2 linked regions of the Cricetulus griseus genome follow. The protein of the gene in region 1 interacts with the protein of each later gene in a biochemical or structural test. Links are inferred from orthologs where the notes say so. Each region holds a gene or a part of one and is shown in the gene's direction. Other genes may lie near its edges.

Region 1 (3,813 bases):
CCTAAATTACTTAATACAGTTGTTTTCAGTTTGGATGGTGGAGATGGTTGCAGGGTCATCTGGATCTCAGTTTCCATATATAAAATGGTGTGGTATTTGCCACTGCTTGTATACATCCTCTTGTGTACTTACTCTAAGTCACCTTCAGGCTACTTGGCAATACCTAATCAACATAAAGTAGGGCTGGAGAGATGCTTGCCCAAGCCTGGGGACCTGTGTCTGGTTCCCAGAACCCATACAAAGCTGGACATGGTGGCATGCATCTGCAATCCCAGAACTCCTATGGTGAGGTGGGAGGCAGAGAACAGGAGGATCACCCTGAAAATCATGGGCCAGCCAGTCTGGGGTGCACAGTGCAGCTCAGCAAGGTGGAAGGCAAGAACCAAATCCTGAAAGTTGCCCTCTGACCTCCACATATGTGCTGTGGTGTGTGTGTACCTACACACTCTCACAAACAATAAATAAAAAATCCACAGTGTAAATGATCTGTAAATAGTTGTTATACTACTTACTTGAGGGAATGATGACGGGAAAACAGTCTGTATATATTTACTACAGACAAAGAAAATTTCCCAAATATTTTGATCCTTGGTTGGCTGACTCCATTGATGTGGGGAAACCATGGACACAGACTGACTGTTATCTACCAGCCTGTTTTAAGTAGCTGCATGTATTATGGAATTAGGTTCTCCTAACAGCCCATGGCATAGATACTCAAGGAAATGGAGGTCCAGCTAGTTTATGAAGCTTGTTCAAGGCTGTATTTAGCTAATTGTGGTGCAGTTGGGGTTTGAATGTATGTGGGCTTCAGCTCCAAATTTCTAAGTCTTATAATTTGAACACTGGCAACATTTCAAGCATGCAGATGCCACACATACATGGTGGTTTCCATGTTGGAGCAGGGCAAGCTTAGCATCCTTATTTGGAATTTAGCTGGTTATACTTCCCATGGCATAATTTGATATTTTCTTTTATCTTCTATACTTCCTGCAAAGTAGTAGACTAGGGGTTTGCAGATTTTCTGGTGAAGGACAGCCAGGAAATATTTTCAGTTCTGTGGATCATATATCCCTGTTGTAATTGTTGTGGCTGAAGCAGCCACAGAGTATGGAAACCAATGGACATGAAACTCACCAATTTATAGGTGGGGCAGGCTGTTAGCATTTGTTCCTCCAAAAAATATTGAATGCTTTGTTAGGAAATATGTATACACTATGCCTTCTGTGACAACTGGTAGATCCGCTCATGGCTTACTCATTAACAGAAACATTTATTGAGTGGCTACATAGAGTACCTACATATGTGAGGCACAGTTCTAGTGTTAAGGACATACAGGGACCCTGCTTTCATGGAACTTGCATTTTAATGAAGAAAAATGAACATGATAAAAATCAGTCGTAAATGTCATGGAAATAGTGTAACAGAACACTGACCGTCAGTCAGCAGAATGCTCTGAAGAAGTGACAGCTGAGAGAAAATGCCGTCTCCGCTCCTTCGAGGAGCGTAAGAGCCCTGTAAAGAGAGGGCATGAAATAGGAAAACACCAGCATTGGAGCATGGTGGTTGGATGAGTCCAGTAAGCGGGAGAGTGGAGAAGGGAGCGGTGGGAGCATCGGTAGCCCACAGCAGACTCCAGTTTTGGAGTTTTTTTCTTTAGACGCAGTGAGACTCTACCTATATCTGGGGAAGAGGTGTGCCGTGTAGTATACATTTTTGAAAGGTCATTCTGGCTTGTGGGTGGAAACAAAGTTGTAGGAAGTATAAAAATAGAAAGAGAAGGCCAGTTAGGTGATATTGATAAACCAGGCAAGAGATGAGGGTGCTTGTGTGCTATGTTGGATTTGTGTGTGTGCTTGCGTCAACACACACACTCACATGCACTCTATTGTATTTGTGTGTGTGTGTGTGTGTGTGTGTGTGTGTGTGTGTGTGTGTGTGTGTTCTGTTGTATTACGTATGCGGTGAATTTCTTGCTCCATTTCTCTTGGGTATTCATAGGGTTTTATTTTTGATCTTCCCAGATCAAAGTCCGAAGTCATAACTCCTGATGTCAAATTGAGTCTTAATTCTGTGTTTTCTCTTACTCAGAAGACATTCTTGTGTACCATTTGGCATTGAGCAACTCTATATATGGAAAAGCAGGTTGTCAACTTGCCTTTCCAGTTTTCCTCTGCTGTTTTACTAGACATGGTTATCTCTCTTTGAGTTTCAGCATTTCAGTTTGACTCTGTTATTTGGCTATTAACTTTTCACTCTTTTTGTGTCTTCCTTTGTACATTCCGTCTCATGCTACTGTTATGGCCAATGAGTAGTTGGAAGTAGCTTTCAAAGTGATCTTCCTTGTCCTTTAAACTCTTAAGTACATTATTAATTAACTTCTTGTAATAAGGCTTTGAATATAGCATTAAATTAAAAATCAATCTTTATATTTTGTGGCCACTCAGATGTCCTAGTGGTAAAGCGTTTTTGCCTGATGTCAGTGCTCAGAACCACGGGAAGGTGGCAGATCTGCCTCCAGGAGGTTGTCCTCTGACTTCACACACATTCACTTGCAATAAGTAAGATTTTAGCAAGTCCTTTTCATTTTATTTAATAAAAACCTGGCTGCAGTTAAGATAATTTGAACCAAGTGCCACTTTTATGTCTTTCACATGCAGTCTTTCACATGCAAAGGAAGAAGTTACATATTTGGAAGTTGTCTTAGTTGGGGTTTCTGTTGCTGTGATGAAACACCATAACCAAAAAAGCAAGTTGGGGAGGAAAGGGTTTATTAACCTTCCCTTCTCAATTGTAGTCCATCACTGAAGGAAGCCAGAACAGGAACTCAAACAGGGAAAGAACCTGGAGGTAGGAACTGGTGCAGAGGCCACAGAGGGGTGCTGCTTAATGGCTTGCACCCCACATGGCTCGCTCAACCTGTTTTCTTATAGAACCCAAGACCACCAGCCCAGGATGGCACCATCCACAATGGGCTGGGTCCTCCCCATAAATCATTAGTTAAGAAAGCGACCTTCAGGCTTGCCTCAGCTGGATCTTATGGAGGCATCTTCTCAGTTGAGGTTCCCTCTTCTCATATGACTCTAGCTTATATCAAGTTGACATAAATTAGCCAGCACAGTAGTTTTTCTCTCCCTCTTTCTTAAACAGTACCTGTGAGAGCATGGCCTCACTACACGAAGTGCGCCCTGTTTGACCAAACTGACCAAATGTAATGTTTTTCCTTTAGGATTCTGTGCGCCTGCTAGCCGTGGAAGCTTGTGTCAGTATTGCCCAGTTACTGTCCCAGGATGACCTTGAGGCCTTGGTAATGCCTACACTTCGGCAAGCAGCAGAAGATAAATCTTGGCGGGTTCGCTATATGGTAGCTGACAAATTTTCAGAGGTAAAATGCATTGGCATTTCTGGTATTGAAAACCTCAAAGGCATTTGCCCTGCAGATTTTCTATTAGATACAGCTTACACATTCTATTGAATAGCTTTGAATATAGAATCAAAATTAAAAAAGAAGACAATTAATCTTTCTATTTTGGGGTTAGTGAGATGGCTTGGTGGGTAAAGTGTTTGCCATTCATGCCTGCCAGCCTGTTGTGGTTATAGCATACATTTGAAGATTGTATTAGTTTGTTGTTATTAACTGTTTTTGTTAGTGTACATTAAACCTGTATAAATTGTTTTTTAGCTCCAGAAAGCGGTGGGCCCTAAAATCACACTCAATGACCTCATCCCCGCCTTCCAGAGCCTCCTTAAGGACTGTGAAGCTGAGGTCCGAGCAGCCGCTGCCCACAAAGTAAAGGGTGAGTCCGGCTATAACTC
Region 2 (4,377 bases), on another chromosome or scaffold:
TAGCCATATGTCCTTTCTGCCAGAGATGAGGGAAATGACCTTTTCTTTTCTTTTCTTTTTTTTTTCTTTTTTCTTTTTTTTTTTTTTTTTTTTTTTTTTTTTTTTGGTAGAGGGGAAATACCTTCACAAGTTCCTGAGGAATGCTAGCTTTTATCTAACTGCTAGAAATCCTCCTATTGTCCAGGTTGAGCTCATTTCTGGATATTTGGACTGCCTTTTGGAGTTTGGAGACTTGGAGTTTCCTTTGGACCTGAGAGTATCTCTCCTACCCCCACCCGCACCCCCCAAGAGAAGGTTTCTCTGTGTAGCCTTGGCTGTCCTGGAACTAGCTCTGTAGATCAGGCTGGCCTCAGACAGGGATTCAGCTGCCTCTGCCTCTTGAGTACTGTGATTAAAGGACTGCATCACCACTACTACCTTGACACTATTAAACAAGGGCACCCAACCTAGCTAAAGGTGAGCCGGAAATGGAAGAAACTGTCAGAAAAGTCTGACTGGAAGAGGCTACATTTAAATAGATTTAGTTTCTTCTCCTTTTTTGTTTGATGTGTGTATGTGAGACAGGGTCTCATATAGGTAGCCCAGGCTAGCCTCAAACTCATTATATAGTTCAGGTATCCTTAAAATTTGGAGCCTCTTACATTCACCTCACAAAGTGCTGCTGAGATTGTAGGCATGTGTCACCACAGCCAGCAGAATATAGATTCTCAATCATTGATTTTACCACTTTTATCTGAACAGACCTGAGTCACTTTTTTTTTGTGCCATTCACAACACATTTAACTTTCTGTCGGGAGCCATTCTTAACTGTTTGCGGTAGCCAAGAACTCTCATCCATGGGAAGGTAACCTACTTCACCCAGATGGAACCAGCCCAGTTGTGTCTTTCTGGGCTCTGTGAACTCTCACCTTGGACAGGCAACGAGTATGCATCACTGTCCCTTTATTTTGGTGTCCCTGGGGCTCACCCAGTGTCGCTGGAGCATCTAAAGGGTCTTCTCCAGGGAGAGCCAGCTCACCCTGTGGGTGAGAAGTAGACAGATGAGACCATCCTGGAGTCCCGGCCCTGGTGCAAGGCTTTGGGACAGTGTGAGGTGCAGACAGGCCAAGCTGCCGGCCCACTTGGGCACTGTGGGCCAACTTGGCATAGTCCACAGCCAGAGCAACTAACCACTGCCCCAGTTCGGTGCAGAGCTCAGAGCAGGGTCACAGCGGGCGGGGCGGAGCGAGAGCCGGGCAGGAAGGAGGCGTGACCAACACAGCGCGACCCACCCCAAAGGCGCTCCGCCCCCTGGAGTGACGTCACCGGCCAGCCAGCGGGCGCCATTTTGAAAGTGGAGTCGCCTGCCCCTGCCGCCGGGCCGCCGTCGCTGTCGTAGCCGCCGCCGCCGCCGCCGCCGCCGCCGCGCCGCTGCCCACCGGGGAGAAGGATCACGAGAGGGGACGCCCCCGAGTGAAAGCTTCTATCCTGCCGGCCGCTCCGCCTGAGCCGCTTCCCTTCCGCCCCGATTCCCGTCCCCTCCCCCTTCAGGTGCCATCCGCCTCCATCCGCGCCCTCGATCCCCCCATCCCCAGGTGAGGGGGCTGAGCCCCGGTCGCGGAGACCCCGAGGAGCCCGGCAGGGTCATCATTTGCTGCACGACATGGCAGGTAAAGGAGAAACGGCCCTCGGCCGGCTGACAGGGTGCCGCTTCCTCTGCGCGCTCTCCGTCACCCCCTAGCGACCGTGGCGGAGGGGCCTTGGCCTGGGGCGCTGGCCGAGTGCGGGGCGGGCGGGCGGGCCTGGCACTGGGCTGGGATGGTGGGGCCTGCAGGCAGGGCCCTGGGCCTGGCACGGGCTCGGGCACGGGTGCGGTGGGGGTGGGGGCCTGCGTGGGTGGGGCGGGTGCCGGCGTGCAGATGGGTCCCCTCTGCACCCTGCTCCCTCCGCTCCTCCGCACATAGTCATTCCACTCTTCCTCGTCTGCTGCGAGCCTTCCTGCAGAAACATATCCTGCACGGATAAGGAAGAGCGCTTTGCAAGTTAAAATACAATGGAGGCATATGTCCCCCCCCCCCACACACACACGTTATGGCTAGGTCAGATTTTGAGGGTGTAAGCCTGAATTTCGTGGCGACTGTGCTCCCTCCCATGACTTAGTCGTTGTCACCACGAGTGCTAGGCCTTTAATAGAAGTTGTTAAGGGTTGGGGTGGGAGGTGGGGAGAAACAGGTAATTTAAACTTTGCATTTTGCACGCTATCGTTCGTGCAGATGTCCTTTTCCCAGAAGGGTTTCTCGGAGTTAAAATAGTTGTGGAGTTCAGTGATATAAATAGAGAGAGAAAGAGGAGAGAGAGATTTCATAAAAGCTTGCAGTGGGGGAAAAGCACGGAGAAACCCTGATTGAGAATAATTTAGCAAGGAACAGGTAAAGGAAAAGCGAGGGTTAATAGCCTTTGAGAGTCGGTTATCTTTGTACATTTTGATCTTGAAGCCCTTCTGCTAGTAGAGTAATTCTAGATTGAGATTCAGTTTCTTTCCCAGAAATCCAGGAGTGTCGTGCCACCCCCCCCCCCCAATTTCCTTTTCAGTCCCGGGCAGTGTCTGAGATTAAACCAGTTTTCCTTGTCTTTTCCATATTTGCATAGATAATAGGACTTCTAAAGAAGTTATGTTGGGCTGATTTACCATTTACTATACAAACAAACTGCCCTTTGACCTTGCCGAACAATGAAATGATAATTGGAACTGTTTTGTAGGAGATGACATATTAGCAAAGTTGCTCTTTCTGGGCCCTTTGGGTTCTCTGGTTAGGTGAAAGGAGGCAGAGTCAGCATCCTTTGACCATCCTTTGACCAGGCATTCATTGCCACCCCTTTTCCTGTGTCTGCAGCCAGTGATTTGCGCCTAATGAATGCAAAGAAATGGGTGTTGTGTTTGCTGTGTCCATGCTTCGGTGGTAGGGCTCACATGAATCACTCCTCCTCTCAGGAAGTAATGTTCCCGAAGTTTTCTCTTCGTTCTATATTTCATGGTAGTTTAGCCCTTTGCACATTTAAAGGAAAACTAACTTTGGGTATTTACTTTGGTTTCTGGTAGGTCTTACGTGAAAGGCTTTGTCTTCAAGGGGCAGGGAAAGTGGAAATGAGGTTTTGAATATCTTTACGATGATAATGATTGATAGACTGTATGCCTTTGAATATTTCATACCTGCAGTCTTGTTTTGAATGCTCTACCAGCTGTCAGAACTTATTTGGTTCCAAATTCGTGGGCTCAGTGGTGACTGTGTATGTGGGTAGTATCATGCTAGTCTCAGATACCATCTCCGTGTTTATGAGAGTAAACAGAACAGAACTCCGTTTTAATTGCTATGTTTTCTTCTTCTAGGAGCTGGAGGAGGGAATGATATTCAATGGTGTTTTTCTCAGGTGAAAGGAGCAGTAGATGATGATGTAGCAGAAGGTAAGAAAGTTTAACCATGACAACTGAGTGTTGACTTAAGTTCTGTGTACTGAAGGAACACGAACTAAACTGAGCCTTGAAGAATGTTTTGTGTTGTCCAAGAGGTGGGACAATAGTTTTAAAAATCATCTTTCTGAAAAAGTCTTTACATCTCTTTTTCTGTCTTGTTTTATTTTTTCATTGAGTTAATGAAGTAAATGGTGAGCAGTAAGTGCTCTGAGGTTCCTGTAATTGAGGTTTCCTTGTTACATACATTCTACATGCAAATAACTGGACTTGGATGTTTGTGTTTTGTCTTTAGATAATTAAGCAGGAATAGATGCCAAGAACACTTAGCTCAGAAATCTTTTATTCTATGAGGAGACTTAAGTTCTTTTGAACTTAACTACTTTGTGACTGTAGTATTGGTTAACATGTTTGCTGAAAAAATGCTGGCTCAAATTATTCACTTTATATTATCTTTCAGGGATTCATATGTGCAGTTAAGATATAATAATAAATCACTTTTCTAGGGGACTTTTTGAGATAGAACCTTGCTAATTTATTTTAGAACTTCTCTGAAGTTTTGGAATGTGAAGGCCTTGTACTCATTCTGAGACAATCTTTTTTGTTAGAGACAGATAATCTCCAAAAGGATGGTTACATTATTTCTTTGTTCAGAAATACTGCAGGTTTGTGGGATTGGGGTGTGTGTGTGTGTGTGTGTGTGTGTGTGTGTGTGTGTGTGTGTGTGTATGTGTGTGTATGAGAGAGAGAGAGACATGCGCATGCACGCACGCACGCACGCACGCACTGAGACAATCCCTGGGATTGGGGGGGTGTGTGTGTGTGTGTGTGTGTGTGTGTGTGTGTGTGTGTGTGTGTGTGTGTGGTGTGTGTGTGTGTGTGTGTGTGTATGTGTGTGTGAGAGAGAGAGAGACATGCGCATGCACGCA

What was found.
Region 2: the proteins of Ppp2r1b (region 1) and Ppp2r2a form a complex in vitro, tested with the Homo sapiens proteins (2 studies listed by BioGRID). The link is inferred for Cricetulus griseus from reciprocal best matches to the Homo sapiens genes PPP2R1B and PPP2R2A.

What each region holds. Positions count from the first base shown.
Region 1 is NC_048597.1:162,635,088-162,638,900, forward strand, and holds part of Ppp2r1b (serine/threonine-protein phosphatase 2A 65 kDa regulatory subunit A beta isoform), read left to right. Parts: intron 1-3,226; coding exon 3,227-3,382; intron 3,383-3,679; coding exon 3,680-3,794; intron 3,795-3,813. UniProt on the Homo sapiens protein: The PR65 subunit of protein phosphatase 2A serves as a scaffolding molecule to coordinate the assembly of the catalytic subunit and a variable regulatory B subunit.
Region 2 is NW_023276807.1:222,050,884-222,055,260, reverse strand, and holds the start of Ppp2r2a (serine/threonine-protein phosphatase 2A 55 kDa regulatory subunit B alpha isoform), read left to right. Parts: upstream 1-1,339; 5' UTR 1,340-1,642; coding exon 1,643-1,649; intron 1,650-3,367; coding exon 3,368-3,442; intron 3,443-4,377. UniProt on the Homo sapiens protein: Substrate-recognition subunit of protein phosphatase 2A (PP2A) that plays a key role in cell cycle by controlling mitosis entry and exit. Involved in chromosome clustering during late mitosis by mediating dephosphorylation of MKI67.